Callithrix jacchus: one gene and its partners. The protein of the gene in region 1 interacts with the protein of each later gene in a pairwise test. Links are inferred from orthologs where the notes say so. Each region holds a gene or a part of one and is shown in the gene's direction. Other genes may lie near its edges. The genes, in order: TCEA2, TRIM54, MEOX2, GPKOW, KXD1, TRIM27 and GOLGA2.

Region 1 (4,250 bases):
TTTTTTTTTTTTGAGACAGAGTCTTGCTCTTTCGCCAGACTGGAGTGCAGTGGCACGATCTCAGCTCACTGCAACCTCTGTCTCCCGGATTCAAGCGATTCCCCTGCCTCAGCCTCCTAAGTGGCTGGGACTACAGGTTCGCCACCACGCCCGGCTAATTTTTTTTTTTTTTGAGACGGAGTTTCGCTCTTGTTACCCAGGCTCTAGTGCAATGGCGCGATCTCGGCTCATGGCAACTTCCGCCTCCTGGGTTCAGGCAATTCTCCTGCCTCAGCCTCCTGAGTAGCTGGGATTACAGGCACGCGCCATAGTGCCCAGCTAATTTTTTGTATTTTTAGTAGAGACGGGGTCTCGATCTCTTGACCTCGTGATTCACCCGCCTCGGCCTCCCAAAGTGCTGTGATTACAGGCGTGAGCCACCGCGCCCGGCCTAATATTTTGTATTTTAGTAGAGACGAGTTTTCACCATGGCCAAGATGGTCTTGATATCAGCAAATCACCTGGCATCTGTGTTACTGAGGAGCTGGCAGGCATTGGTGGGCATGCTGGCCCTGCCTTCTCCTTGTCCTAACCCTCCCCAGGCCTGGCCCATCTCTCTGGCTGCCTGCAGTGTGGTCCTAAGTGGGGACCTCCAACAGCAATGGCAGTGAACACTAATTGTCACGCTCCATCCCCCGCTCGGTTCTCAGGCATGTGATGAGAAGCAGCTTACATCACCTTGACAAGAGCCCTGTGAGGCTGACAATCTCGTCATTCCAGTTTCACAGGTGGGGAGACTGAGGCACAGAGCAGTCAACGTGCAGAGCCCAGCATCTGCTCCCGGGTAGCTGACTGTGGAGGCAGGAGCCTTGCCCACGCACCCTCTGCAGGGGCCCCCGGCACCTCGCGAACCCCAGCACTGGCCCCTTCCAGACGCCACGTCCAGCTACTGCGCACTCATACCTGCAGGCCCCCCAAACCTCCTGGAGAGGTGACATCCCCGCAGAGGCCCAGTGACCCACACTCGGCCCTGGAACGCTGGGGATGGCCTTCCAGGTCAAGGCCGGTGTGCGCGGGGCTCAGCGGGGCCCAAGAGCAGGTCTGAGGGCGGTAGGTCCTGAGCCACCCACCGAAGGACGCCGGGGGAGAGCAAGACCCGAGACAGGAGGAGAGAAGGGGGCGGACTCCGGACCTACTGGGCCCCAGCCGCTCGGGGCTGCCTGAGCTCCGGGAGGGACTTGCTGAGGGCGCTTTCCTCGCGGGGCATTGTGGGATCACGAGTCTCTGGCGGCAGCGCGTCAGGACTACACTTCCCAGGAGACTGTGCGCGCCGCATGGCGCCTGGGGGTTGTGGTTCAGAACGCGGCGAGCACGGGTGCGGGGAGCGGGGCGGGCGGGCGCGTGGACTACGCGTCCCAGGATGCCGCGCGCGGCCGCGGGGCGAGGGTTTGAACCGGGGTCTGCCGCCCGCGGCGGGCCTGCGTCGGCTGCGGCGGGTGCGGGAGGTGGCGACGGCCGGGGCTGGGGTCCCAGCCAGGCGGCGGAGGTGGGCGCGGCGGCCGCGGGGGGCGCTGCTCCTGAGGTGATGATGGGCAAGGAGGAGGAGATTGCGCGGATCGCCCGGAGGCTGGACAAGATGGTGACCAAGAAGAGCGCGGTGAGGGGCGCGGGCCGCCAGGACCCCGGGACCCCCGCCCCGCCGAGACCCCGTCGAGCCTGCCGACCCCCGTTAGGGCCGGAAGACGACCTGAGGGGCAGGACAAGACCCCTCCCCGGCAGAGACTCCCGGGACGCAGGGAAGACCCCCACCCGTGGCCGAGACCCCTGCCCCGGGCCCGCCCTGCCGTTCACTCCCTCACTCCCGCATCCCCGGGAGAGGCCGCACCTGGGCCTGGACCTTGTCCCGGGAGCCACCTGCTCTGGACTCAGCCCCACCTCCCCGCCCGCAGTGACAGGCTTGCACCCTTCCCTGTCCCTTAACTGCAGACCCGAGCCCGGCCCCTCCCCGCCTCTCGGAGCCCCCGGGGTGTTCTGGCCTCCCGGGCCCCCTTGCCTTCCTCCGTCCGGGCCTGGGCATCCTCACGGGCCGAGCCCCGCCCCCAGCTCAGCCCTCTCCCGTAGCGTTTGTCACCGGCAAGAGTCTGGAGTCTGAGGTCCCCTTTTCCTCTGGAGCTTTTGTGCCTCCCCTACCTCTTCCCGGCCCTGGTCGTCATCCTTCACAGGCCCTGTCTGTCCCCACCCCGCAAGAACCAGGTTTCTCTAATAAATTCTCTCCCTTCTTTAGCCAGGATTTAGCCCGCAGCAACTTGGGTTGTGGGTTGTTATGTGGATACCCCCGGAAAAGAGCCGGTGTGCTTATATAAGACCCAGAAGGTCGGGCAAGCCTCCCCCGGGAGTGTCTGACCAGCTCTGCTCACTGCGGCCTGGGCCTCTGTCGTCTTGCTGCCACGGCAGGACTTTGGAGGAGGCTGTGTGTGAGGCCTTTGAAGGGGCCAGGCCCGTGGGGGTCCAGTTCCACTGTCATGACCTTGGCGCCCTGTGCACCTTTGCACAAAAGCATCTTTAGAGGATGGTGCCTGTCTCCTGGGGGTGGGGAGGGGTCTGGTCACAGGTCAGGTGGAGCTCCTGGCCGGTTCAATAAATGTGGCCTGTGCTTTCCCACCCAGACTGTGAGCTCCTAGAGCAGGGCCAGCCCAGGGCGGTGAAGGTGGCTGAGTCATGGGCTTTGGGTGATTTGTGCAGCTACACCAGGGCTGTGTGACTGCAGTAGTGGTCTTTGGGGGGAGCTTTTTGGGCTGAGCAGGGTTGAGTGTGGGTTCCTGTTGACCAGGGTTTTGGGCTGGGATCTGCACTGGGAAGGGGTGGGCTCCCACTCATTTCTGCTGGGTGCAGCACTGCCATCACTGCATTCACATGCACCCCGGGAAACTGCTCAGCACAAAGTAGGGGTCTGTGAACCTTCTATAGCTGTTTCCAGAGATGACCTGAGAATGGAGTTATTTCCCCTCTTAAAGGAGACAAAACACAAAAGAGAAAAACTGTAGGTGGGAGAAGCAGGGATGGGTCACAGAGCCAGGGGAGGGCTGGGTGGGGCTCGAAGAACTGACATTGGGGGTTCTGATGGAAGAACAGCTTGAGTAGAAGCCCCAGGAGAGAATGAGGAGGGGGAAGAGGGCCAGCAGAGCCTCCTGGGGGGTCCCAGTGCCTGAGGTCGCCTGGGGGACTTGAGGGCCAGGCTTGGTGGTTTTTATGTCCCTTATCCTGAGCCCACTGAGAGTCACATAAGCTGGTGCAGAGCTTTCAGCAAACAGTGCCCTTGGCTCTGGCGATCACCTCAAGCTTGGACTCTATAGCCCAAGGGGCAGGGCCTGCCTGGGAGGGTTGATGAGGGGCTACAGCATGAGGAGAGATGCCTCCCAGATTGCTGGGGCTGTGGGGGGGGGGACAAGCCCCTCCCATGGCCTCTGGGTTGTGGGACATCTGATAGATCATCTTAGGGCAGAGAGAATGATACACATGTGGAAACACAGGCATGTGCTTTAGAGAAGATGGGAGTATTGCAGGGCGCAGTTGCAGTTTTAAATAGGAGAGGCCTTGATGAGAAAGTGTTGTTTAAATAAAGCCTGGGCGGGAGACAGGGAGGGTGCTGTCCTGGGAAGCCACCCCAGGCAGTGCAGCTGCAGGTGCAGAGGCCTTGGTGGTGGCTCGGTACCCTTGGGGAGCACGGAGGAGCTGTGCCTGGTGTGGAAATTTGACCAGTTTTACGCCTGCCTCATCTATGTGTGAGGACCCGGAGGAAACGCAGATCTTGGGTAGGGAGACAGGCAGAGAGAACGGTGCATTGCAGCTGTCCAGGCAAGGAGTGCTGGCCAGCTTGGGGGCAACTCAGAAGCCTGGAGGATAGATGAGGAGGGGGGCTGTGGGCCTTGGAGGTGTTGGCTGTGGCTGTGCCTGAAGTGGAGGCACCCCGAGAATTTGGCCTCAGCTGGGGACACTTATGTTCCTGGGTTGGCCTCACAGCCGGTGGGGGGATGGGTGCTTTGGGGGAGGCTGTCCTGCATCAGGGCATGAATGCACAGGGGAGTGAATGAACCTAGGGCTGCCCTTTCACCTGGGTGCGGCCCTGGCTGCTGGGGAGGGGCCATGGCCCTGAAGCCTCCCAGTTTGCCGGGGGGGCGCTGGCATTTCTGTTCTGGTTTGGGCCAGTGACCTGAGGTGGCTACAATGAAGTGGGTGTGGTCGTTGCCTCAGATGTAGGTCACAACCTGGAA
Region 2 (3,934 bases), on another chromosome or scaffold:
TGCTATTTCGTGTCCTCTTCACACCATGTATTTCCCACCCACTCAGGGTCACAGCCTACTAACTCCTGAAACTTCTCTCCCTGGACTGGGAGAAGGGCTAAAGAATGTCAGTAAATAAAAGAGCTTTGTCCAGTCCCAAGGCATATGTTGGGCCTGAAAAAGACAAACTATGTGTGTCTGGGGTGAAGAAAAAGGGCCTAAAGAAATTGCTTCTTGGCCCTTTGGCTAAGATCAAGTGGAGAAAAAGACGTGTAGGAGAAAAAGTCAGTGCTCACACTGGGGCAAGCCTGGCTTGGAAAGTAGGAGTCCCGAACAACTGTGGGGCTGGGGCAGAGGCTCCCCAGAGACTTGTGATTATGACTTTGTCAGTGCTCTAAAATTTCCCTGGAGATTGTTTCCCTGGGTGCCCAAAATAGGTCCCTGGCATTCAGGTCCTCTCTGCCCAGCTCACCTTCTCCCAATTTCCTAACAAATTTGAAGTCCTTGGAGTGGCTCCAGGGATGTGTTCATGGACCAGAATCCCACATTTCCTCAGGGACATGCTCATAGATAGGTCCAGGCTATGGCACAACAGTCATTTCTAGCCTCTTGAGCTTCTTTTCCTAGGGTGATATAAGAAAAGGCTGGGCAAGAACAAAAATGAGCCCAAGGTGTTGGACAAGAGGCTTGATGTCATCCCTCGAGCTGCTGTTCTGAATCACAGAGTCTTGAGGAGGAGGACCTGGGTCACTGGCTGAGCCTGTGGAGGAGGAAACTGTTACTGACTCTAAGTCTGGCAGGATCATTCCTCCCACCCTAAGCTATGTATGGGTGCCTCTCACACAGGCCGATTTAGATTCTGTGTCCCGGTCCTGGAAGAAAGGCCCAAGCCAGAGCAGGGTTCCCGGGCTCAGAGGAGCCTTCAGAGTGAGAGGGCAGACCCTTTGCTGACCCACCTTTCACCGTAAGCAGTGGTGCTTGCCCCTGCTCTTGCTCAAGGGAGTCACCCATTCCTGAGTGAGTCAGGGTCACTCACTCTGTGACAGCTGTGGCTCGCCTTACATGAGCTAAATTGGGAATTGGAATGTCATGCAGATGCCCCTTGTCTCCCCACCCCCACAGTAAAATTAATCTTGTCTCTGGGGAGTAAGGGACAAACAGTGCTACCCACAGAGTGAACAAGAGAGGGTCATTTAGGAAACAGGAGAATTTTACAGAGAAAGGGATAGATAAAACTACGTGAGCCTGGCGAGGGTGCAGAGCAGAAAGTAGAGAAAGACAAGTGTCTAAAGACTGCTCTCTGGGACGAGACAAGTTGTTAAAGAAAGGGACAGGAGAGATAGCAGTGCTATTTCAAGAGTGCGCCACAGAAGGGAATCCACAGGCTGTCTAAGCGAGGAAGGGTCTGCAGACAGTGAGTGAAGGCCAGGAACAGGGCCCAGGCCAGGGCAGGTGCGACCATCGAGGGGATGAACTTCACAGTGGGTTTCAAGCCGCTGCTAGGGGATGCACACAGCATGGATAACCTGGAGAAGCAGCTCATCTGCCCCATCTGCCTGGAGATGTTCTCCAAACCGGTGGTGATCCTGCCCTGCCAACACAACCTGTGCCGCAAGTGTGCCAACGACGTCTTCCAGGTGGGCATAAGGGATGGGGCAGGGCCAGGTAAAACAAGGCAGACCTGTGGGGGACCGATCAGATCAGAGCTGAGACCCCAGAAGGTGATGGATAGAGTGCTCTTTGAGGTGGGTGGTGGCTGTTGTGGCTGGAGAGCAGAAGTGCTGGGGTCCAAGCAAATCCCAGAGTGAGCATGAGTCAGCAGCTGCCCGCAGGCTGGCATGTATAGCCTGTGTGGCCAGCAGCTGGAGTGCTGGGATCTACCAAGGAAAGGAGACCCTGTGGAAGCTGGGAGGGAAGGGGACTCCCAGACTCTGCAGTCCAGTTTGGAGTTTCAGACTTTGAGTGCATTGTGGAAAATCTGGAGAAAAGATTAATGAGATAATGAAATGTTAAAAAATAAGTAAAATAAAACCTAACCCTGTGAGAAAGCTCCACAGTGGCAATAAAACTAAGGAAAGTTCAGTGCATCCATTGTGGGGACAGAGTTAGATATGGTAGGCAGGAGACTGGGACTTCTCCCCAACTTAAGTTCATACGTGTCACCCTCTAGGTCATTCAGTAAAGAGGCCTTCTGGTTACAAGCTATCGAGATCACTTAACAAGCAGAGAGAGGGCAGTGAAGAAATTGACTTCTTAGAAGTCTAGCCAGTTTTGGATTATTTGTGGTCATGGGGCCAAGCATAGCTAATCAAATTCACAGATACCATTTTAGCCACTGGTTTAGAAGTAAAAGCATGTACCAGAATGGATTCTAAGTGGGCTTTTTTTTTCTTGTCCTGTGCCACTGAGGGGGTTCTAGTAGGCTATGGAACAGAGATCAGGGAGAGTACGGGGCAAAGGCACGCGCACACACACACGGCCTAGCTGATGAGTAAAAATCCAAAATAGACCACGCTGGCTGGCTTAGTATGTGTGTTAGTGACACGGGACATCCCAAACAAGTATTCTTCATCCGTGTCAGAAATGATGAGGAAATGTGTTAAACACAAGTGATTTTTAGCCTAGTCAAGGAATACTTCCCTTTTAAGTTCCTTGGGGCAGCTTGTTTGGGGAAGGAATGGGCTGGCTAGGTCAGGCCATCCCACACTGTGCCCTGTGACCCGACCCTTGTGTGTCTGCTGTGTGGCATCTTCACTGAAGACCAGCACTCTGTGGTCCCTCCTGCCATCTTCCCACTGAGGCCCATTATATCTTCTATTCTTTTATTTTTTATTTTATTTTATTTTTTAATTTTTTTTTGAGATGGAGTCTCACTCTGTTGCCAGGCTGGAGTACAGTGGCACAATCCTGGCTCACTGCTTCCTTAAGCGATTCTCCGGCCTCAGCTTCCCGAGTAGCTTGGACTACAGGCATGTGCCACTATGCCCAGCTAATTTTTTGTGTTTTTTAAAGTAGAGATGGGGTTTCACCATGTTGGCCAGAATGGTCTTGATCTCTTGACCTTGTGATCCAACCACCTCAGCCTCCCAAAATGCTGGGGTTACAGGTGTGAGCCACTGTGCTCAGCCTATTTTTTTTTTTTTTTTAGATGGAGTCTCTGTCATCCAGGCTGGAGTGCAGTGGCGTGATCTCAGCTCACTGCAGCCGCTGCCTCCTGGGTTCTGGCGATTCTTCTGCCTCAGCCTCCTGAGTAGCTGGGACTATAGGCACCTGCCACCACACCCGGCTAATTTCTTTTTTTTGTATTTTTAGTAGAGATGGGGTTTCACCATCTTGGCCAGGCTGGTCTCGAACTCCTGATCTCATGATCCGCCCGCCTAAGCCTCCCAAAGTGCTGGGATTACAAGCATGAGGCACCGCGCTCGGCCTCCCTCTCCTATTCTTTATTGTCCAAATCTGCCATTATTCAGCTCCAGAGTATCTCAGAGCCAGTAGATTTTCCCTCTCAGGGGGCCTAGACCAAACGCTGTGCCTCCTCATCCTGGGCATGAAGTCCTCCATGAGAGGCAATGCCTTGCCCACCGTCTTGGATTTTCCTTGGTCTTAGTAACTCTGAATATCCTTCAGGCTGAGATGCCTAGGAGGGAATGGCAGAAAGATTTTGCCATCCTTTCTCATGAACTTAGAGTGAAACATCCTGTCACTGGAACTTGAAATGTGTGAAAGCAAAGAGAAGTTTTGAAAGCGAAGGTGACATGTCCTGTGGAAAAGTGGTCAGAATGTCCAAGTGCACTCCTGGGTTCCTCTGTCATCTGGCAGAGGGCCCCATACATTGAGTCTAGAATGTGTTTAAGTGACCTGCTTATTCAAGTCAACCCTCTCTAGCCAAGCACAGTTTTGGTTCCAGAAAGCTCTAGAATACTGATTTGGACTCAAAGAGACCTGGGAATGGCTT
Region 3 (4,300 bases), on another chromosome or scaffold:
AAAGAAAAGATAGGCTTAAACAGGGGGACTGGAAGAGGAGAGGAAAGGTTCTGCTTTGGGGACACCTCTCAAAGATTAATCAATACTTTTTCCTAATTCAAACCAGATGTCTAGCCCAGTTTGCTGTACCCATTAATCCCATTAACAACTTCAAAGACCTGGTCACCATCCTCTGGACACCTGAGACAATGAAAATAACAGGGCGACACTGCTGGTGGTGCAGTCGGGGCTCCGGGTGGAATAGGTGACTACAGATATTCTCCTGATCCGACACGTCCCAGATCCGACGTGACTGTTCCTCCTGCTCATTAAAGCCCATTCACTTGTGTATAAACGACTGTGCCCCAGCGGATCTTGTCGCTCACCAAGCAAGTGGCAGTATCAAAGCCCTGCCCTCGCTCTCCCATGCTTACTGGAGGCAAGTTATCGAGTTTATTTTCAGGGATGCAAAGATGTAATCAAGCGCCCAAGCTTAGTGAATTCTTAGAGCTATCGAAATTTAAGATTTCTCAGTAAATGGAGCAGTGGTGTTAAGAGACACGATTAGTGGATTTATTTTTGAGCAGAAGAGTGGATTTCTAGAGGGAACTGAAGAGACCTGGGCTAGCTCCGGAGGGGAGAGGCTAGAAATGTGCATGCAAATCTACACATCTCATGTGACTGGGACAAAATCGCTTGGAAATAATTCTTGACCCAGGAAAATTTCTTCTTGGTGGACGAGTGGCTAGGAAATTGAGCGAGACCAGGAAAGCGGGGGGGAGGGAGACTCCACCGGGCATCGCACGTGAGGATGCCAGAGAGCAGGCATCTGCAATTCGCGCTTACCTCCCACCCACCCCACCAGGTCTTCCTTAGGTCTTCCTCTCAGGTCTTTCCGCACTGTGAACCACACTTTCCAGGCCATGGTGCACGTCCCCGAAACCTCAGACCTGGCGTCCCAGCCTCTTAACCACCACCCACAGAAACTAACTGCGAAAACCTAGGCGCGCGGCGGCGCCCTGGGCACGGGAAGATGCGAAGTTTGAAAAACTTCCAGAGTGCGCCAGGCTAGCTCTGATCTTTTCCTTTAACCCTATCACTTCTTTCGTGTTCCTCAAAGGCTAGGCGTATCCCTAGCTTTTCTGCAGGTGACAGTTCCCAAATGACACTGACAAGTTACGTTTTCCCAAGAGAAAAATTAGTAGGTGGGAAACAGGGTGCTGGGTTGGCGCTGGTGCGCGCCGCGCCCTGGCCTCCAGAGTCTGGAGGGCAGAGCCGCTGCCCTCCCGGGCGGGATTTAGACGCTGGCGCGCCGCTTGTAGTCCTGGTAGCTGGCAGGGCTAGGCGGGCGTGGACGCTCTGCGTCTGTCCAGCCGGCGATAGGAAGTGGAACTGGGAGCGCGTGGCGCAGACTGAGCGGGAGTTTTGGAGGGAGTTTGCATGTGGTCAACTCTGGGCTCCTAAGCCAGCCCCCAGCTCACGTTACAGTCTATTTATAACCTCTCAGAGCCATTTCCCCCTGAAGGCAGTTCACTGGGACCACCTTCTTTTGGCTTCAACCTCTCCCACTCTTGACATCTGAGTAGCTCAGGGAAGCTCTTCCAGGTCCGACTGTTCATATGTAAAGGAGACTGGCCGTTAGGGCTCAGGACCGGGATTATCCGAGCTCTGCAGAAGTGCACGGCTATTGCTTTGAGAGGGGTAAAAAACATCACACGGTTTCCAGTGAAAAGTGACAGAGGGTGGTGGCCTTTAGAACCGCCGTGAAGTCTTCTGCCTGGAACCCGAAACTTGCATGCTATGGAACACCCGCTCTTTGGCTGCCTGCGCAGCCCTCACGCCACGGCACAAGGCTTGCACCCGTTCTCCCAATCCTCTCTAGCCCTGCATGGAAGATCTGACCATATGTCTTACCCCGAGCTCTCTACTTCTTCCTCATCTTGCATAATCGCGGGATACCCCAACGAAGAGGGCATGTTTGCCAGCCAGCATCACAGGGGGCACCACCACCACCATCATCACCACCATCACCACCATCAGCAGCAGCAGCACCAGGCTCTGCAAACCAATTGGCACCTCCCGCAGATGTCCTCCCCACCGACTGCGGCTCGGCACAGCCTCTGCCTCCAGCCCGACTCCGGAGGACCCCCAGAGTTGGGGAGCAGCCCGCCTGTCCTGTGTTCCAACTCTTCCAGCTTGGGCTCCAGCACCCCGACCGGGGCCTCGTGCGCGCCAGGGGACTACGGTCGCCAGGCACTGTCACCTGCGGAGGCGGAGAAACGAAGCGGTGGCAAGAGGAAAAGCGACAGCTCAGGTAAGAGAGCGCCAGGCACCCTCGAGAGTGCGCGCCGGCCTGGAAAGGGGGCGGGGAGATGCCAGGGAAGAGTCTGGCCCTGGAGGGTGGCGGCGGGGAAGAGGGGAATGTGTTAAATTCGGCGGTGAAGCTTTGGTCCTGTTATTTGGGGGCACGTGTTTATCCGAGAGCAACACAGCTAGCAGCTCTAAGCTCTCCAAGGTCCTAAACTAGTTTACCAGAAGGTTGATAAAAAAGGACAAGTGGCTGTGAAATCGATTGCGAAGCGTGACCTTCCATCCCAGCGCGGGGGAGGGAGGGGCGTGTGCCCAGGGATGCCGCGTCCGTTGGGCAGGCGTGCGTGCGTGCGGGTGCTGCTTCTTGACTTTTCTCTTGCAAGTTCCCGACTCTGAGTGGCTTGACTTTTCCCATCGTAAACTGGATTTCCAAATTATTGCACAATATTTGGAACTTGCAATGGAACTTGGCAGAGCACATGAGAAAAAAAAAAAAGTTTTAGTTTTTTTTTTTTAAACATTCTTGTTTGAGAGTTCTTTAAATAGCACCCTATTTCAAATGGTAAAAATTTCCCCTTCTTAGGGAAGAAGATATTATCTAGGAATTCAGATTTTAAGGAATGTGTCAGAGAATTGTAAATAAATACATGCTCACGCTGGAAGAAAGACGAACCTTAATATAGTACATGTTCATGTTGTGTAAGTTAATTACAGAATCTAAATTTCAAGAGTGGAAAATAAATCCCTCTACCAAGTTGGTTTTAGCTGCGGCAAATACTGGGTAGCGAACAGCAACTTGGGTAGTGTCAGTTAGCTACGTGCCTGAAGGTCGTATGCAAGGGTGCGCAGGAAGCGCTGATTTCAGTGAGGATAATTTGAGCAGCCACGCAAAAGGGGAATCTTCCTGACCTCTGGTGCTTGAAGGCACAACTTGCAGAGTAAATTGTAGCAATCCAGAGAAACTCAAAGTTTTCCAGACAACTTTTCAAAGCTCTGACCTACTTCTATTATCATAAAATTGTTAAAAGATACTTTAAAATTGAGAGACTTGTGAGTTTTCTTTCGTGGCTATGGTGCACCCTGGCTTCCATCTTTTTGGAAGGTATTATTTGTTTAATATAATATTTGTATATTTTTCTTCCTCTGCGGAACTGGGTTAATAATAGTCCTAGAAGGTAATCCCATATATTGGTTTGAAGGATTGGAATGTTTATGCTTTTTAAAGCTTTAGGTGAGATGTCACATAAATGAAAATGATTGACCGCATGTTTAATATTCCTCTCCCCTTCGCAGCAATATCAATCGTTCTTCAGCGTTAGTATGGGATAGATTCTTCTGTCAGAAGAATAAAATAACTTTTATTTTCCAAGGATAGGGGATGAACTTTTAATGTTCAATCACAAATTAGTTTTTATAAGAAAGTTAGCAGTGGTGTCACTGATATTTACTGTATTTTCCTAACTATAAGTGAAACTCCCTTTAGATAGTGGAAGGTTAATCGTTGTAAGAAGGTTTCAATTTTTATTAGAAAAACCGTCGATTTTAGAATGCAGTGACAATTTTATAAACTGAACATTCGATATCAGTGTAACTTTTGAAAGAGATCCCAGTTCAGGCTGATGAGAGTACTCTTGCAATTCCCATAAGCCCTTACTGTTCATTTTATTTTTCTGCAATGAGAAACCTACATGATAGCCTTATGCTTCCGGAACTGAGCCACTGCCCTTAAGTTTCTTAGGGCAAACAATTTTCATGCAAGCACATGTTATTTTGTTTGGGGGAAACCAAGAAAATGGAATTCAATAACTGATTTCCTTAATTTATTTTAATAAAACTTTTTTTTTTAAAAAGGAATAATTTAATAACATTTGTCTCTTCCCCCAACTGTGTGGGAAATAGCCATTTAACAAAATTAAGTTCATTTCTACATGTTGAAGCTGATAATGAGGGTAATGGAAAAACAAACAAATATAAGTGTTTGTGTCAGCTGAATAAATTATGAATAAATTAA
Region 4 (3,084 bases), on another chromosome or scaffold:
CACATCCCCCTGACCTGTATCCCCAGATGATAATTGAAGATGTCCTAAGCCCAGATACCTGTGTATGTCAGACAGATGAAGGCCGAGTCCTGGAAGGTGAGTTTGAGTGATTGCAGCTGGAGCATGATCATCCTGGAGGTTGATCAAGAAGAGTGTCTTAGGCCCAGAGCCTGGCCCAGGCAAAGCTGGGAGGTTGGGCAGAGTTCAGGTATTTTGCAAGGCCTAGCATCCTCTTACAGAACATTGGACACTTCCATTATGGTAGTTATCTTGAGCCCCACACTCCCGGTCTGCCAAGTTTTCTTTTTCTTTCTTTCTTTCTTTTTTTTTTTTTTTGAGGCACAGTCTTGCTCTGTTGCCCAGGCTGGAGTGCAGTGGCATGATCTTGACTCACTGCAACCTCTGCCTCCTGGTTTCAAGCGATAATCCTGCCTCAGCCTCCTGAGTAGCTGGGACTACAGGCAAGCGCCACCACACCTGGCTAATGTTTGTATTTTTAGTAGAGATGGGGTTTCACCATGTTGACCATGCTGGTCTTGAATTCCTGACCTCAAGTGATCCTCCCGCCTTGGCCTCCAAAGTGCTGGGATTACAAGCCACTGCGCCTGGCCTCCATCTATCAAATTAGCATGGAAATTACTTTCTTCCTCTTGTGATTGGTACCTTGGTGAAGGGATGTGTATTGAGCTCTCAGTGCAGGGCAGGGCTTAGAACATGCCAGCAATAAACGATGGCTGTTCTTATCACTACCACCACATGGACATCCTCCCTTTATTATAGTGATTTTTATAAACTACTCCTTAGGCTTCCTCATCTGTGAAATGGATGTGGTGGGACTCTATCTGTCAACAGGGCATAGAGTGGCTCCAGAGAATACAGGAAAGGCCCTTCTTTTTTTTTTTTTTGAAATGGGGTCTTGCTTTATCACCTAGGCTGGAGTGCAGTGGCACGATCATGGATACTGCCACCTCGAATTCCTGGTTTCAAACCATCCTCCCACCTCAGCCTCCTGAGTAGCTAGGACTCAGGCATATACTACCATGCCTGGCTAATTTTAAAATTTTTTGTAGGCTGGGTGAAGTGGCTCATGCCTGTAATCCCAGCATGCTGGGAGGCCAAAGTGGGTGGATCACCTGAGGTCATGGATTTGAGACCAGCCTGACCAACAGCTCAAAACCCTGTCTCTACTAAAAATACAAAATTAGCTGGGTGTGGTAGTAGGCACCTGTAATCCCAGGTACTTGGGAGGCTGAGGCAGGAGAATCATTTGAACCCAGGAGGCGGAGGTTGCAGTGAGCCTAGATTGCGCCATTGCATTCTAGCCTGGGCAACAAGAGTAAAACTCCGACTCAAAAAAAAAATTTTTTTTTTTTTTTTTTTTTGTAGAGACAAGGTCTGACCATCTTGCCCAGATTGGTCTCAAGCTCCTGGGCTCAAGAGATCCTCCCACCTCAGCCTCCCAAAGTGCTGGGTCTAGAGGTGTGAGCCACCACACCTGGCCAGGAAGGGCCCTTCTGACAGGACCCCGGTTGGGCTGGTCCTTGCTGTGGGCCTCACTCCCCTCTCCCTTACCTGTAGGCCTGAGGGAAGACATGCTGGAGACACTGGTTCCCAAGGCAGAGGGCGACCGTGTGATGGTGGTGCTGGGCCCACAGGCTGGAAGGGTGAGTCTCAAACCTGGCAGTGGAGGTTTGTGGGTCATTCACAGCCTGTAGCAGGGTCTAGGCTGGCCTTGCTGATTTCACTTCACCTCTGTTCCAGGTGGGACATTTGCTGAGCCGGGACAGAGCACGGAGCCGGGCTTTGGTGCAACTGCCAAGAGAGAATCAGGTGGTGGAGCTTCACTACGATGCTGTCTGCCAGTACACGGGCCCTAGTGACACAGATGAAGACTGACCCATGGGACTCCTCCCATCCCCTAGGCTGTTACCAGTTCTGTACAGTATGAGGAAGTTGCCTTCAAGAAGGTGGGAAGATCATTGTTCCATCCTCTACTTCTAGTGCAGTTCTGGGACAAGGACAAGGGACATGGATGGATGAACCAGTAGGGAAGCTAGAAACAAACCCAATATTTACCAGAATTTAGGGTATAATAAAAACCATTTCGGACACTTAATAGAAAGATGTAGCAGGCTAGGCACGGTGGCTCACGCCTGTAATCCCAGCACTTTGGGAGGCCGAGGCGGGTGGATCACGAGGTCAAGAAATCGAGACCATCCCGGTCAACATGATGAAACCCCATCTCTACTAAAAATACAAAAAATTAGCTGGGCACGGTGGCGCGTGCCTGTAATGCCAGCTACTCAGGAGGCTAAGGCAGGAGAATTGCCTGAACCCAGGAGGCGGAGGTTGCGGTGAGCTGAGATCGCGCCATTGCCCTCCAGCCTGGGTAACAAGAGTGAAACTCCGTCTCAAAAAGAAAAAAAGATGTCTCTAGCACTGCTCAGAGGGCAAATTTTAAAACTAAAGTCTGGGTGAAAGATTTGCTAGTTTTACAGAAAGATTTGTTATCTTAAACTCAAGCTGGTTTTTCTATTTTCATGTAAATGACTGGGATGCTGTCTTATAAAATCTTCCAAGTTCATGTTTGTGAAATAAACATTACATGAGAGTTTAAAAAACAAAACAAAAAAAAAAGATGTAATCATAGGCCGGGTGCGGTGGCTCAAGCCTGTAATCCCAGCACTTTGGGAGGCCGAGACGGGTGGATCACGAGGTGGACAGATCAAGACCATCCTGGTCAACGTGGTGAAACCCCGTCTCTCCTCAAAATACAAAAATTAGCCGGGCATGGTGGCACTTGCCTGTAATCCCAGCTACTCATCAGGCTGAGGCACAAGAATTGCCTGAACCCAGGAGGTGGAGGTTGTGGTGAGCCGAGATCGCGCCATTGCACTCCAGCCTGGGTAACAAGAGCGAAACTCCATCTCAGAAAAAAAAGAAAGATGTAATCATAAGTGGTATCATGAGCTGCGAGTTAAGGTGGGAACTGAGTTGACTGAGGTGGGAACCATTTCATTTTTCAGCCTTGCTTTCCTGCCCAGGGTACAGGACAAGTTAAAGGACTCATTTGATTATGAGCTC
Region 5 (4,190 bases), on another chromosome or scaffold:
TCAGCCTCCTGAGCAGCTGGGACCATAGATGGGGCCACGGGCCCATTTTATTTTTTTCTTTTTTGTTTTGAGACGGAGTTTCGCTCTTGTGAGGTTCTCGTGAACCTCACAGGTTCACGAGATTCTCCTGCCTCAGCCTCCCAAGTACCTGGGATTACAGGCGCACACCACCACATCATAATGAAACCCTGTCTTTACTAAAAATACAAAAAATACAAATAATTTTTGTATTTTTAGTAGAGACAGGGTTTCATTATGTTGGTCAGACTGGTCTTGAACTCCTGACCTCGTGATCCGCCAGACTGGGCCTACCAAAATGCTGGCATTAGAGGCGTGAGCCATGGCACCGGCGAGATCCTATTTTTTATTGTTATTTTTAAAATTATTTATTTATTTATTTTGAGACGGAGTTTCGCTGTTGTTACCCAGACTGGAGTGCAATGGCGCGATCTCGGCTCACCGCAACCTCCGCCTCCTGGGTTCAGGCAGTTTTCCTGCCTCAGCCTCCCGAGTAGCTGGGATTACAGGCACACGCCACCATGCCCAGCTAATTTTTGTATTTTTAGTAGAGACGGGGTTTCACCATGTTGACCAGGATGGTCTCGATCTCTTGACCTCATGATCCACCCGCCTCGGCCTCCCAAAGTGCTGGGATTATAGGCGTGAGCCACCGCGCCCGGCTGAAACTTCATCTTAAAAACAAACAAACCAAACGAACAAACAAAAATCATTAAGATCATGAAAGACGTGGAGAACCTGACACAAATGGTGGATTGGGTAAGAGACTAAGGAGACATGACTAAATGCAAATGGAAATCCTTTTCCTTTTTTTCTTTTAGTTTTTTAGAGGCGGGGTTTCTCCATGTCAGTCAGGCTGGTCTTGAACTCCCAACCTCAGGTGATCTGACCGCCTCGGCCTCCCAAAGTGCTGGGATTACAAGCGCGAGCCACCGCGCCCGGCCGGAAATCCTTTTTCTTATGGAGTTTCGCTCTTGTCTCTTAGGCTGAGGTGCCGTAGCACCGGCACCACCTCAGCTCTGCTGATTCCCTGCCTGGAAAGCAGGACACGCGGGTCTGGTTTGGCCACAGACCACTGGAGCATTTACGATCTTGGGGACTGTTGCCGCTCTGGGCCCTCAGTCACACCATCTATAAGATGGAACTCTTCTTTGAGCGTTCCCTCTGCCAGGCTGCTCTGAACCCGGGGTTTCGGAAAATACGCAGGCGCAAGCCGAACTGCTTGATTGGCTATTCATTGTGACCACCCGCGAGCTGAAGCTGCGTCTAAGCTCCGCCCTTTCCTGTCGTGACTCCAAGCACGCAAGGGGTTCCAGGATACGTCGCCGCCACGCGCGCTCGCACGATCGGTGCGTGGTGACGTTGCGCCGGCGCGGGCGCCATCCCGGAAGCGCGAGCGAGGCCGCCAGATGTGCAGGTGCCGCCGCTACCGACGCCGGGGCCGAGTTTGGGGTGGGGCTGGGGACTTCAGGGCCGCGGGGAACCGGGCCGGGTCGGGCGCGGCCCCCGGGCTGCGGTGGGGTGGGGTGCGCCGCTGGCCACATCTGGTCACTCCTGCTGCGCACAGGCCTCAGTTTCCCCGTCTGCGCAATGGATACACCTGCGGCGCCGCGGGCTGGATCTGGATCCGGATCAGGTGTATAGAAATAGGAAGTGGGGCCGCCTGTGTTCTGGGTGTGCCGTGTAACCTGGAGCTGGGCGTTGCCCGGCTTGTGCCTCAGTTTCCCCGCATTGTAGGTGACGGGGCGTGAGGGGATATCTGAGCTCCTCCCCACTTGGGGTTTTTCAGAGCTTGGATGGCGGAGTTAAATTATGTTAAATAATCTGGATAGAACCGTTGTCCTGCTCTGCCTCTCCGTGTGAGTTTTGGCAACTGCGCCCACTCTTGTGAGCCTCAGTTTCCCTCGTAGGTGATTGCGTCTGCCTCATAACGGTGATTGAGGATTAAATGAAGTGCTCTACAAGTGTCTGTCCATAATATATTCTTAGAAGCCCTTGGGATGCTCTCTAAATGTTGACTCCTGGGCCCTGTCCCGGTACTCCTTCACACTCCTCTTGGAAAAACAGCCCGTTCTGAGCTCCACTCGTTATCACCGTTGGTTTCAATTCTCACAGACAGCACTGTGAGATCTTCATTCCACCCTTTTCCCATTTTATGGTTGAAAAAACTGATTCAGAAGGGTGAAGTGGCTCTCCTAAGGTTAAACAGCCTACGTTTCTTCAATAAATCCACATTTGGAGTTGGGATCAGAGCCCTTGCTTGGTCAATTTCACTAGGTGGGCCAGACTAGCAGTAATCAGGGAAGGCTTCTTGGGAGAGGAAACTGCAGGGGGAACAAGAGGGAGGTGCCATAAATCAGCCCTCACATCTGGGAGTCAGAGACAGGAAAGATTTCTGTTTTGAAGTAGGGGTGTATCCCAGAAGGTCCCAGTAACTGTGTCCCACTGCCACTAGCTACGGGCTTCCTTCCTTTCCAGGTGTCTTTTTTTTTTTTTTTTTTTTTTGAGACAGAGTTTTGCCCTGTCGCCAGGTGTCAGGCTGGAGTGCAGTGGCATGATCTTGGCTCACTGCAACCTCCGCCTCTCAGGTTCAAGCAATTCTCCTGCCTCAGCCTCCCGAGTAGCTGGGACTACAGGTACACGCCACCATGCCTAGCTAATTTTTATATTTTTAGTAGAGACTGGGTTTCACCATGTTGGCCAGGATGGTCTCAATCTCTTGACCTTGTGATCCACCCGCCTCCCAAAGTGATCCGTGATCAATCTCTTGACCTTGGATCAATCCGTGATCTGAAGTCAATCTCTTGACCTCATGATCCGGCCTCCCAAAGTGCTGGGATTACAGGCGTGAGCTACTGCGCCCCACCTTTTTTTTTTTTTTGAGACGGAATTTCGCTCTTGTTACCCAGGCTGGAGTGCAATGGCGTGATCTTGGCTCACCACAACCTCTGCCTCCTGGGTTCAGGCAATTCTTCTGCCTCAGCCTCCTGAGTAACTGGGAGTACAGGCACGCGCCACCATGCGCAGCTAATTTTTTGTACTTTTTAGTAGAGATGGGGTTTCACCATGTTAACCAGGATGGTCTCGATCTCTTGACCTTGTGATCCACCCGCCTCGGCCTCCCAAAGTGCTGGGATTACAGGCGTGAGCCACCGCACCCAGCTTTTTTTTTTTTTTAATTGAGATGGAGTCTCCCTTTGTTGCCCAGGCTGGAATGCAGTGACTTGATCTCAGCTCACTACAATCTCTGTTTCCAGAGTTCAAGCAATTCTCCTGCCTCAGCCTCCTGAGTTGCTGGGACTATAGGTGCCTGCCATCATACCTGGCTAATTTTTGTATTTTTAGTAGAGACGGGAGTTTTACCATGTTGGCCAGGCTGGTCTTAAACTCCTGACCTCAGGTGCTCTGCCAGCTTCAGCCTCCCAAAGTGCTGGGATTACAGGCGTGAGCACCCAGTCCAGGTATCCTCTTTATACAAGAGCATGCTTCTTTGGGAATGTGGGGACTGTGGGTGTCTCTGCCTGGCATGTCACAGGAGTTCAATAACCATAGTAATTATTGGAGGGGGGTTTCACTGGGTGTGGCATTGTATTTCTAGAAGGTGCTGCAAACCACTGGCCAGCCAGATTCAGATCACAAAGAGATACCCTTGGCCTCCATGATATTTTGGGAAAAAGTATTCATTGCTAACATTTGTCAATGAGTCAATTTCCTAGAAAAAAAAAATCCTTCAGAGGTCATACAGAAATCAGCTGCTGTAAGAAGCCACTGTCCTGTCACTGCTAGATATTGTGCATCTGTTAAGATCCACACATTTGTGAGACCTCTGGGCTGTGGACATTTGTTGTGACTTAGGTTCACTGCTGGGATTGTGACAGTGTCCCAGTTCTTTAGTGTCCCTGATCCTCCATTTTCTCATCTATAAATAAGGATAGCAGTTAGTATGTATGAGCTTGAATAAATAGGAGAGTAGGTTAAGTGAGCTCTGAAACCCTTTATTTTTGGGGGGAATGGAATCTCTGTTGCCCCAGCTGGAGTGCAATGGTGTGGTCTCGGCTCACTGCAACCTCCACCTCCTGGGTTCAGGTGATTTTCCTGCCTCAGCCTCCTGAGCAGCTGGGATTACAGGCGCCTGCCAGCACACCCAGCTAATTTTTGTATTTTTAGTAGAG
Region 6 (3,500 bases), on another chromosome or scaffold:
TCACCATGTTGACCAGGATGGTCTCGATCTCTTGACCTCGTGATCCACCCGCCTCAGCCTCCCAAAGTGCTGGGACTACAGGCTTGAGCCACCGCGCCCGGCAGATTTTGTCTTAATAGTCACTGGGGTAACTCAGTTCCTGGCCATTACACATCCAGTCAGTAAAGAGTGGCAAGAATGAGTTAGCACTGTGCTTGTTTCTTTTGTTTGTTTGTTTGTTTGTTTCAGTCTTTCTAAGGTTCAATTCAGGTACACTGTGCTTGTTTCATCCATGATGAGGTCTTGGGGTGGGCGACCAGGGGAGAAATGTGAAGGCCCCAGAAATGAGCCATGTTTCTCTTTACTGCCTTTTCCTGTGGTCTGCACAGAGCCTAACCCAGATGGAAAGGGAGAAGATTGTTTGGGAGTTTGAGCAACTGTATCACTCCTTAAAGGAGCACGAGTATCGCCTCCTGGCCCGCCTTGAGGAGCTGGACTTGGCCATCTACAATAGCATTAATGGTGCCATCACCCAGTTCTCCTGCAACATCTCCCACCTCAGTGGCCTGATCGCTCAGCTGGAAGAGAAGCAGCAGCAGCCCACCAGGGAGCTCCTGCAGGTAAGGCTTACGGAGCTCTGCCAGAGCAGCATCCACTGAAAGTAGCCTCCCTTCTTCCTTTGCCAAGTAGTATCCAGGATCCCCTGTCTTCCTATTAGCTCTCGGGAATAGCAAGAGTTTGCCACACTCTGCATTGTGCACCCCGGAAGGAAACTATGTAAACTAGAAGTTCTGGTTGGCACAACGTGGATTAGTCAATTGCGTTGTCTCCTGAGAATGGCAAAAAGACCTGGTGCTTGGGCCTGCTTAGCACTGACAAGTGGTCTGATCACAGGCAAGGCTCTCCACTTGGGCCTCAGTGACCTCATGTGTTAACAATGAGGGGCTTAGATCACATGTCATTCAAACACTCTCTTCACTCCAGTATCTTGTAGTTTTAACATATGACTGTGGCCACCTGAGCAGGAGTGAGCACCTGAGCAGGAGTGGTTAGGTTCGCTGAGGGGTCTTGTGGTCTAACCCTGGAGAGCTGGTGATGAAGCTGCACAGACCTACCCCAGCAAAGCCACAGGGAACAAGCTAAGGCTTGTCTGTCGTTTGCTCATTCTGTGCATATTATTTGCTCTGTATCAGGCACCATTCTAGGCCCTGGGATTAAGAGCTGAATAAACTTTCCTGAATTATATTTTAGTGTGGCGATCAGACAGTTTTTATAAATATTGATAAAAGCTATTAAAAATTTATGATGGCAAGGTGTGCTCAGAGCAGGGGGCCTGAAGAATGGCTCTTCCGTTTATAACACACCCAACAGGAATCTGGAGTCATTGTGATGAGAGGCATGAAGCTTGTGGCCTCCCTAAAAACAAATGCTCTACATGTGAAAAATATTAAAAAAAAAAAAAATTAGGCCAGGCGCGGCGGCTCATGTCTATAATCCCAGCACTTTGTCAGGCCGAGGCGAGTGGATCATGAGGTCAAGAGATCGAGACCATCCTGGTCAACATGGTGAAACCCCACCTCTACTAAAAATACAAAAAATTAGCTGGCCACGGTGGTGGGCGCCTGTAGTCCCAGCTACTCAGGAGGCTGAGGCAGGAGAATTGCCTGAACCCAGGAGGCGGAGGTTGCGGTGAGCCGAGATCGCGCCATTGCACTCCAGCCTGGGTAACAAGAGTGAAACTCCGTCTCAAAAAATAAATAAATAAATAAAATAAAAATTGATGATGGCATAAGGCAGGAGCCAGCAGATTATGGTCTGTCACCTGTGTTTGTATGTCCTGGGCGACAAGTGTGGTTTTTACATCTTTACATGGGAAAAATCAGAGAAATGTATTTTTTTTTTTATTGTTTTTCTTTTCTTTTCCTTCCCCTTTTTTTGAGATGAAGTCTCACTCTGTCTCCCAGGAGGAGGGAGCACAGTGACACGATCTCAGCTCACTGCAACCTCCACCTCCCAGGCTCAAGCAATTCTCCTGCCTCAGCCTCCGGGTAGCTGGGATTACAGGTGCCATTCACCACACCCGGCTAATTTTTATATTTTTATTATAGACGGGGTTTTACCATGTTACCCAGGCTGGTCTTGAACTCTTGACCTCAGGTGATCCACCTGCCTCGGCCTCCCAATGTGCTGGGATTACAGGCGTGAGCCCAGCCAAATGTATTTTATTATATGTGAAATTATATTCAATTTAAATTTAGTACTCATAAATTTTTATTGGAACTCAGCCGTGCTCATTTGTTTTGTTACATATTATCTGTCATTGCTTTTCTGCTACACCAGCAGCGTTGAGTTGTAGCAGAGATTATATGGCCCACAAAGTCTAAAATATTTACTGCTTGGCCTTTAAAAAAGATTGCCAGCCGGGCGCAGTGGCTCACGCCTATAATCCCAGCACTTTGGGAGGCCGAGGCAGGTGGATCACGAGGTCAAGAGATCGAGACCATCCTGGTCAACATGGTAAAACCCCATCTCTACTAAAAATACAAAAATTAGCTGGGCATGGTGGCGCGTGCCTGTAATCCCAGCTACTCAGGAGGCTGAGGCAGGAGAATTGCCTGAACCCAGGAGGTGGAGGCTGTGGTGAGCCGAGATTGTGCCATTGCACTCCAGCCTGGGTAACAAGAGCGAAACTCCGTCTCAAAAAAAAAAAAAAGAAAGAAAGATTGCCAACCCTTGGTTTAGAATAATAAAAGACCGCCGGAACTGTAATGAACATCAGTATGTGACAGGGAGAAACGGAAGAATTTGCAAAGAGGACAGTTGGCCAGGGAGGTAAAATGTGACCAGGCCTGTTTGAGGAAGGAGGGAGTGGACACCATACTAATGCAATTGAGGTGAAATTACATTACTGTGAATTGCAAAGCTGGTGCAAATTTGATTTAATAGCATGACCGTTATTATGTAGACCTTCTGTAGAACTGTCACAATGGAATAACTGGGGCGGGAGCCATATTAGAGGGAGCTGAGTGAGCAGGGACTGGAGGAGACTGCACAAGTAGATGACTGAGGAGAGGGTGTAATAAAATACCTAGAGATGAGGCAGGATGATGGAGTTTTATCTGGAGCAGGAAAGGAGTCTATGTTGTAAGGTTTCCAGGTGAGAGAGAGGGAACACTGACGTCGCCAGAAACGATACACTGATGAACAGTGCGTGGTTCCTGAGAAGGCAGGTGGAAATGAGAACTAAAGTCTGTGTGCCAGGAATTAGTTTCAAGGGTCTTCTGTTCCATGGAAACAAGTTATTGTTTCAGAGTATGGGAAAGTCACTTGGCCTGCGAGAACCAGGAGGAGTGTTTGGTCAGTGAACATCTATTTATAGTGTAACCATTCTGCCCTGTTGTGTAACTTTCTTAGCAGCTTTGCTTTCTTAAATCTTGACGGCTGTGGCACAGGCAGTGAGAAAGTGGATAGTCTCATCCAGGATTGGGTTTTGCAAGATGGATTTGAGGGTTTTTTTCTTC
Region 7 (3,500 bases), on another chromosome or scaffold:
TTTCTGTCTTATATCCCTGCTATTAAGAACTGTATCTGGCCCGTATATGCTCAGCAAATGTTTGTTGAATGAATGCACCTTTCTAAATCACAAGCTGGCAGAAGGGTGGCCTTTTCTCACACTTCATCTCTCGAGGTTTATGTTACTGTCCTTTCAAGAGAATCAGATCCAGACCCAGTTCTGTGGCTGTGGGCAAAAACCAACAAAGACCCAAATCCCTTTTCCTTGGGAGCCTGAGGAGAGTTTACCAGTTTGTGTTCCCATTGGGTCTGAAAACTTTGCCTTTAAAATCCATTCCTGGCCCCTGCCTACCCCTTCCTGGTCTGGGGAATAGAGTTGAGGGGACCACCCTCAGTCACCTTCCTTTGACTCTCCCCACAGAAACAACAGAACCAAGAAATTACGGATCAGTTGGAAGAAGTAACGTGATTTCTTTGTTTGCTCACAACATGACTGCTGGGTTTGGGGGGCATTCAAATGTAGAGGCCTCAGTCTCATCTCACCCACTCCCAGCCTGGGGAAGAAGGTCACCACCACCCCCAGATTCCATCCCATCCCCACAGGGTCCCTGATAACTTGGTCCTATGGGTGGGCCTGTCCTGGGGCATTGGTGGCATTCTGGGGGCATGTCCCTTGCTGTGCCGTCTCTGCCTTCCCCAAGTAAGAGCTCTGTCTTCCTCATCCTGTAGGAAAAGAAAGAATGTCACCAAAAGCAGGGAGCCCTAAGGGAGCAGTTACAGGTGAGTGGAGGGTGCGGAGTTCCCTCCTGTTCTCTGGAGAATGTTTCTTTCCTTCTTTTTCAGCACTTGCTTGACTTTTCTCCCAAAGGTTCACATCCAGACCATAGGAATCCTCGTATCAGAGAAAGCTGAGTTACAGACAGCCCTGGCTCACACTCAGCATGCTGCCAGGCAGAAAGAAGGTGGGAATCTGGGTACCCCATCATCCTTCAGCCTGGCACTTTGATAGACCTTTAGAGGGGAGTCCTTTGGGCCCCATCTCAACCTCTCTCATTCCAGGAGAGTCCGAAGATCTGGCCAGCCGCCTGCAATATTCCCGGCGGCGTGTGGGAGAGTTGGAGCGGGCTCTCTCTGCTGTCTCCACGCAGCAAAAGAAGGCAGACAGGGTGAGTCCAACTCCCTGCCCCGTTCCCTGGCAGGCTGGCTTCCCAGATGGAGGAGTGAGCCTTAAGGTCCCTTTTGCAGGGTGGAGTGTCCTGCCTAGAAGGCAGTATGGGCCATTTCTCACTCCTTTTGTGGGTGGTTGTTAGAGGCAGCCTGGGGCTGAGTCAGCTGCTGTGGGTGAGTTGAGAAGCACTGGGGAGCAAACACTGAACACAGAGCTCAGAGGCCAAGTGCCTGCCCTTCCCTTTCCTGGTTGTGGCCTTGGCCAAGTCGTAGGTAGGGGATATGATACTTGTACTGTGAAGATACAGAAGAGTATCTTTAGTGTGTTACCATTTGTGTAGAGAGAGGGAACATGTGTCTGTGTGTGTGCGTGCTTGCGCGTGCAAGGATTCATTAAAAACTCGAGAGAGGAACAGCATGGCTGGGAGATAATTCCTTTCTGTACCTTCCGAGTTTTGGACCATGCAAATGTATCATCCTTTCTTTTTCCTTTTTTTCTTTTGAGACAAGAGTCTTGCTCTGTTGTCCAGACTGGAGTGCAGTTGTGCAATCTTGGCTCACTGCAACCTCCACCTCCTGGCTTCAAGTGATTCTCCGGCTTCAGCCTCCCAAGTAGCTGGGACTACAAGCACATGCCACCATGCCCAGCTAATTATATATATAAAACAAGTCAGGTATGGCGCATGCCCGTAATCCCAGCTACTCGTGAGGCTGAAGCAGGAGAATCGCTTGTACCAGGAGCTGGAGGTTCTAGTGAGCCGACGTGGCACCACTGCACTCCAGCCTGGATGACAGAGGGAGACTCCGTCTCAAATAAATAAATAAATAAATACATACATACATACATACATATGACTCTGTCTCAAATAAATAAATAAATAAATGAATTCATGTATATATACGTATATATATGCATGTGTGTCTATATATATATATATATATATATATATTTTTTTTTTTATTTTTAATAGAGACAGGGTTTCACCCTGTTAGCCAGGATGGTCTCCTGACCTCGTGATTCACCCGCCTTGGCCTCCCAAAGTGCTCAGATTATAGGCATGAGCCACCACGCCCAACCTGTATCATCCTTTCAAAAAGTGAACAAAAGATTACCCCCTTCCTATCTGTGGCCCCACCCCCAGAGAACAAATGGACTTAGAGAATCAGATATACCTGGGTGTTCAAATCCCAGCAAATCCCAGCTCTGTCTAAGTGATTTTAGGCAAGCACTTAACCTCTAATACTAACATGTTTTTGTATGTTTGTTTGTTTTGAGGCAGAGTTTCGATCTTGTTGCCCAGGCTGGAGTGCAATAGCGTGATCTTGGCTCACTGCAACCTCCACCTCCTGGGTTCAAGCGATTCTTCTGCCTCAGCTTCTCAAGTAGCTGGGATTACAGATGCCTGCCACCACGCCTGGCTAATTTTTTTATTAGCCATCTCTACTAAAAATACAAAAAATTAGCCAGGCGTGGTGGCATGCCCCAATAATCCCAGCTGCTTGGGAGGCTGAGGCAGGAGAATTGCTTGAACCCAGGGGGCAGAAGTTGCAGTGAGCAGACATTGTACCACTGCCCTCCAGCATGGGCAACAGAGTGAGACTACATCTCAAAAATAAATAAATAAATAAAAATAAAAATACGGCCAGGCGCGGTGGCTCATGCCTGTAATCCCAGCACTTTGGGAGGCCGAGGCAGGTAGATCACGAGGTCAAGAGATCGAGACCATCCTGGTCAACATGGTCAAACCCCGTCTCTACTAAAAATACAAAAAATTAGCTGGGCATGGTGGTGCGTGCCTGTAATCCCAGCTACTCAGGAGGCTGAGGCAGGAGAATTGCCTGAACCCAGGAGGCGGAGGTTGCGGTGAGCTGAGATCGCACCATTGCACTCCAGCCTGGGTAACAAGAGTGAAACTCTGTCTCAAAAATAAAAATAAAAATAAAATAAAATAAGATAAAATAAAACAAAAATAAAAAACAAGTCAGGTGTGGTGCATGCCTGTAATCCCAGCTACTCATGAGGCTGAAGCAGGAGAATCGCTTGTACCAGGAGCTGGAGGTTCTAGTGAGCTGACTTGACACCACTGCACTCCAGCCTGGATGACAGAGGGAGACTCCGTCTCAAATAAATAAATAAATAAATAAATAAATAAATACATATGACTCTGTCTCAAATAAATAAATACATGTACATACATACCTACATACATATATACATAAATATGCTCTCTTTCCCTGTCCCTTCCATCCTTACTAAGTTCTTTTTTTTAAAAACAAATGAGACTAGGCTGGGTGTGGTGGCTCACGCCTATAATCCCAACTCTTTGGGAGGCCAAGGCGGGCAGATCACGAGGTCAGGAGTTTGAGACCAGT

The links.
Region 2: the proteins of TCEA2 (region 1) and TRIM54 interact in binary tests that used the Homo sapiens proteins (3 or more experiments, as listed by UniProt). The two-hybrid records come from large-scale screens. The link is inferred for Callithrix jacchus from reciprocal best matches to the Homo sapiens genes TCEA2 and TRIM54.
Region 3: the proteins of TCEA2 (region 1) and MEOX2 interact in binary tests that used the Homo sapiens proteins (3 or more experiments, as listed by UniProt). The two-hybrid records come from large-scale screens. The link is inferred for Callithrix jacchus from reciprocal best matches to the Homo sapiens genes TCEA2 and MEOX2.
Region 4: the proteins of TCEA2 (region 1) and GPKOW interact in binary tests that used the Homo sapiens proteins (3 or more experiments, as listed by UniProt). The two-hybrid records come from large-scale screens. The link is inferred for Callithrix jacchus from reciprocal best matches to the Homo sapiens genes TCEA2 and GPKOW.
Region 5: the proteins of TCEA2 (region 1) and KXD1 interact in binary tests that used the Homo sapiens proteins (3 or more experiments, as listed by UniProt). The two-hybrid records come from large-scale screens. The link is inferred for Callithrix jacchus from reciprocal best matches to the Homo sapiens genes TCEA2 and KXD1.
Region 6: the proteins of TCEA2 (region 1) and TRIM27 interact in binary tests that used the Homo sapiens proteins (3 or more experiments, as listed by UniProt). The two-hybrid records come from large-scale screens. The link is inferred for Callithrix jacchus from reciprocal best matches to the Homo sapiens genes TCEA2 and TRIM27.
Region 7: the proteins of TCEA2 (region 1) and GOLGA2 interact in binary tests that used the Homo sapiens proteins (3 or more experiments, as listed by UniProt). The two-hybrid records come from large-scale screens. The link is inferred for Callithrix jacchus from reciprocal best matches to the Homo sapiens genes TCEA2 and GOLGA2.

What each region holds. Positions count from the first base shown.
Region 1 is NC_133506.1:59,536,019-59,540,268, forward strand, and holds the start of TCEA2 (transcription elongation factor A protein 2), read left to right. Parts: upstream 1-1,450; 5' UTR 1,451-1,564; coding exon 1,565-1,636; intron 1,637-4,230; exon of another isoform or gene 4,231-4,250. UniProt on the Homo sapiens protein: Necessary for efficient RNA polymerase II transcription elongation past template-encoded arresting sites.
Region 2 is NC_133515.1:87,734,329-87,738,262, reverse strand, and holds the start of TRIM54 (tripartite motif-containing protein 54), read left to right. Parts: upstream 1-1,134; 5' UTR 1,135-1,448; coding exon 1,449-1,616; intron 1,617-3,934. UniProt on the Homo sapiens protein: May bind and stabilize microtubules during myotubes formation.
Region 3 is NC_133512.1:42,792,488-42,796,787, forward strand, and holds the start of MEOX2 (homeobox protein MOX-2), read left to right. Parts: upstream 1-1,500; 5' UTR 1,501-1,779; coding exon 1,780-2,293; exon of another isoform or gene 2,294-2,334; intron 2,335-4,300. UniProt on the Homo sapiens protein: Mesodermal transcription factor that plays a key role in somitogenesis and somitogenesis and limb muscle differentiation. Required during limb development for normal appendicular muscle formation and for the normal regulation of myogenic genes.
Region 4 is NC_133524.1:49,662,874-49,665,957, reverse strand, and holds the end of GPKOW (G-patch domain and KOW motifs-containing protein), read left to right. Parts: intron 1-26; coding exon 27-96; intron 97-1,578; coding exon 1,579-1,664; intron 1,665-1,761; coding exon 1,762-1,896; 3' UTR 1,897-2,584; downstream 2,585-3,084. UniProt on the Homo sapiens protein: RNA-binding protein involved in pre-mRNA splicing. As a component of the minor spliceosome, involved in the splicing of U12-type introns in pre-mRNAs.
Region 5 is NC_133523.1:17,269,791-17,273,980, forward strand, and holds the start of KXD1 (kxDL motif-containing protein 1), read left to right. Parts: upstream 1-1,390; 5' UTR 1,391-1,654; intron 1,655-4,190.
Region 6 is NC_133505.1:2,077,837-2,081,336, forward strand, and holds part of TRIM27 (zinc finger protein RFP), read left to right. Parts: exon of another isoform or gene 1-368; coding exon 369-599; intron 600-1,289; exon of another isoform or gene 1,290-1,418; intron 1,419-3,500. UniProt on the Homo sapiens protein: E3 ubiquitin-protein ligase that mediates ubiquitination of various substrates and thereby plays a role in diffent processes including proliferation, innate immunity, apoptosis, immune response or autophagy.
Region 7 is NC_133502.1:176,872,008-176,875,507, reverse strand, and holds part of GOLGA2 (golgin subfamily A member 2), read left to right. Parts: intron 1-381; coding exon 382-420; intron 421-689; coding exon 690-740; intron 741-828; coding exon 829-922; intron 923-1,019; coding exon 1,020-1,126; intron 1,127-3,500. UniProt on the Homo sapiens protein: Peripheral membrane component of the cis-Golgi stack that acts as a membrane skeleton that maintains the structure of the Golgi apparatus, and as a vesicle thether that facilitates vesicle fusion to the Golgi membrane.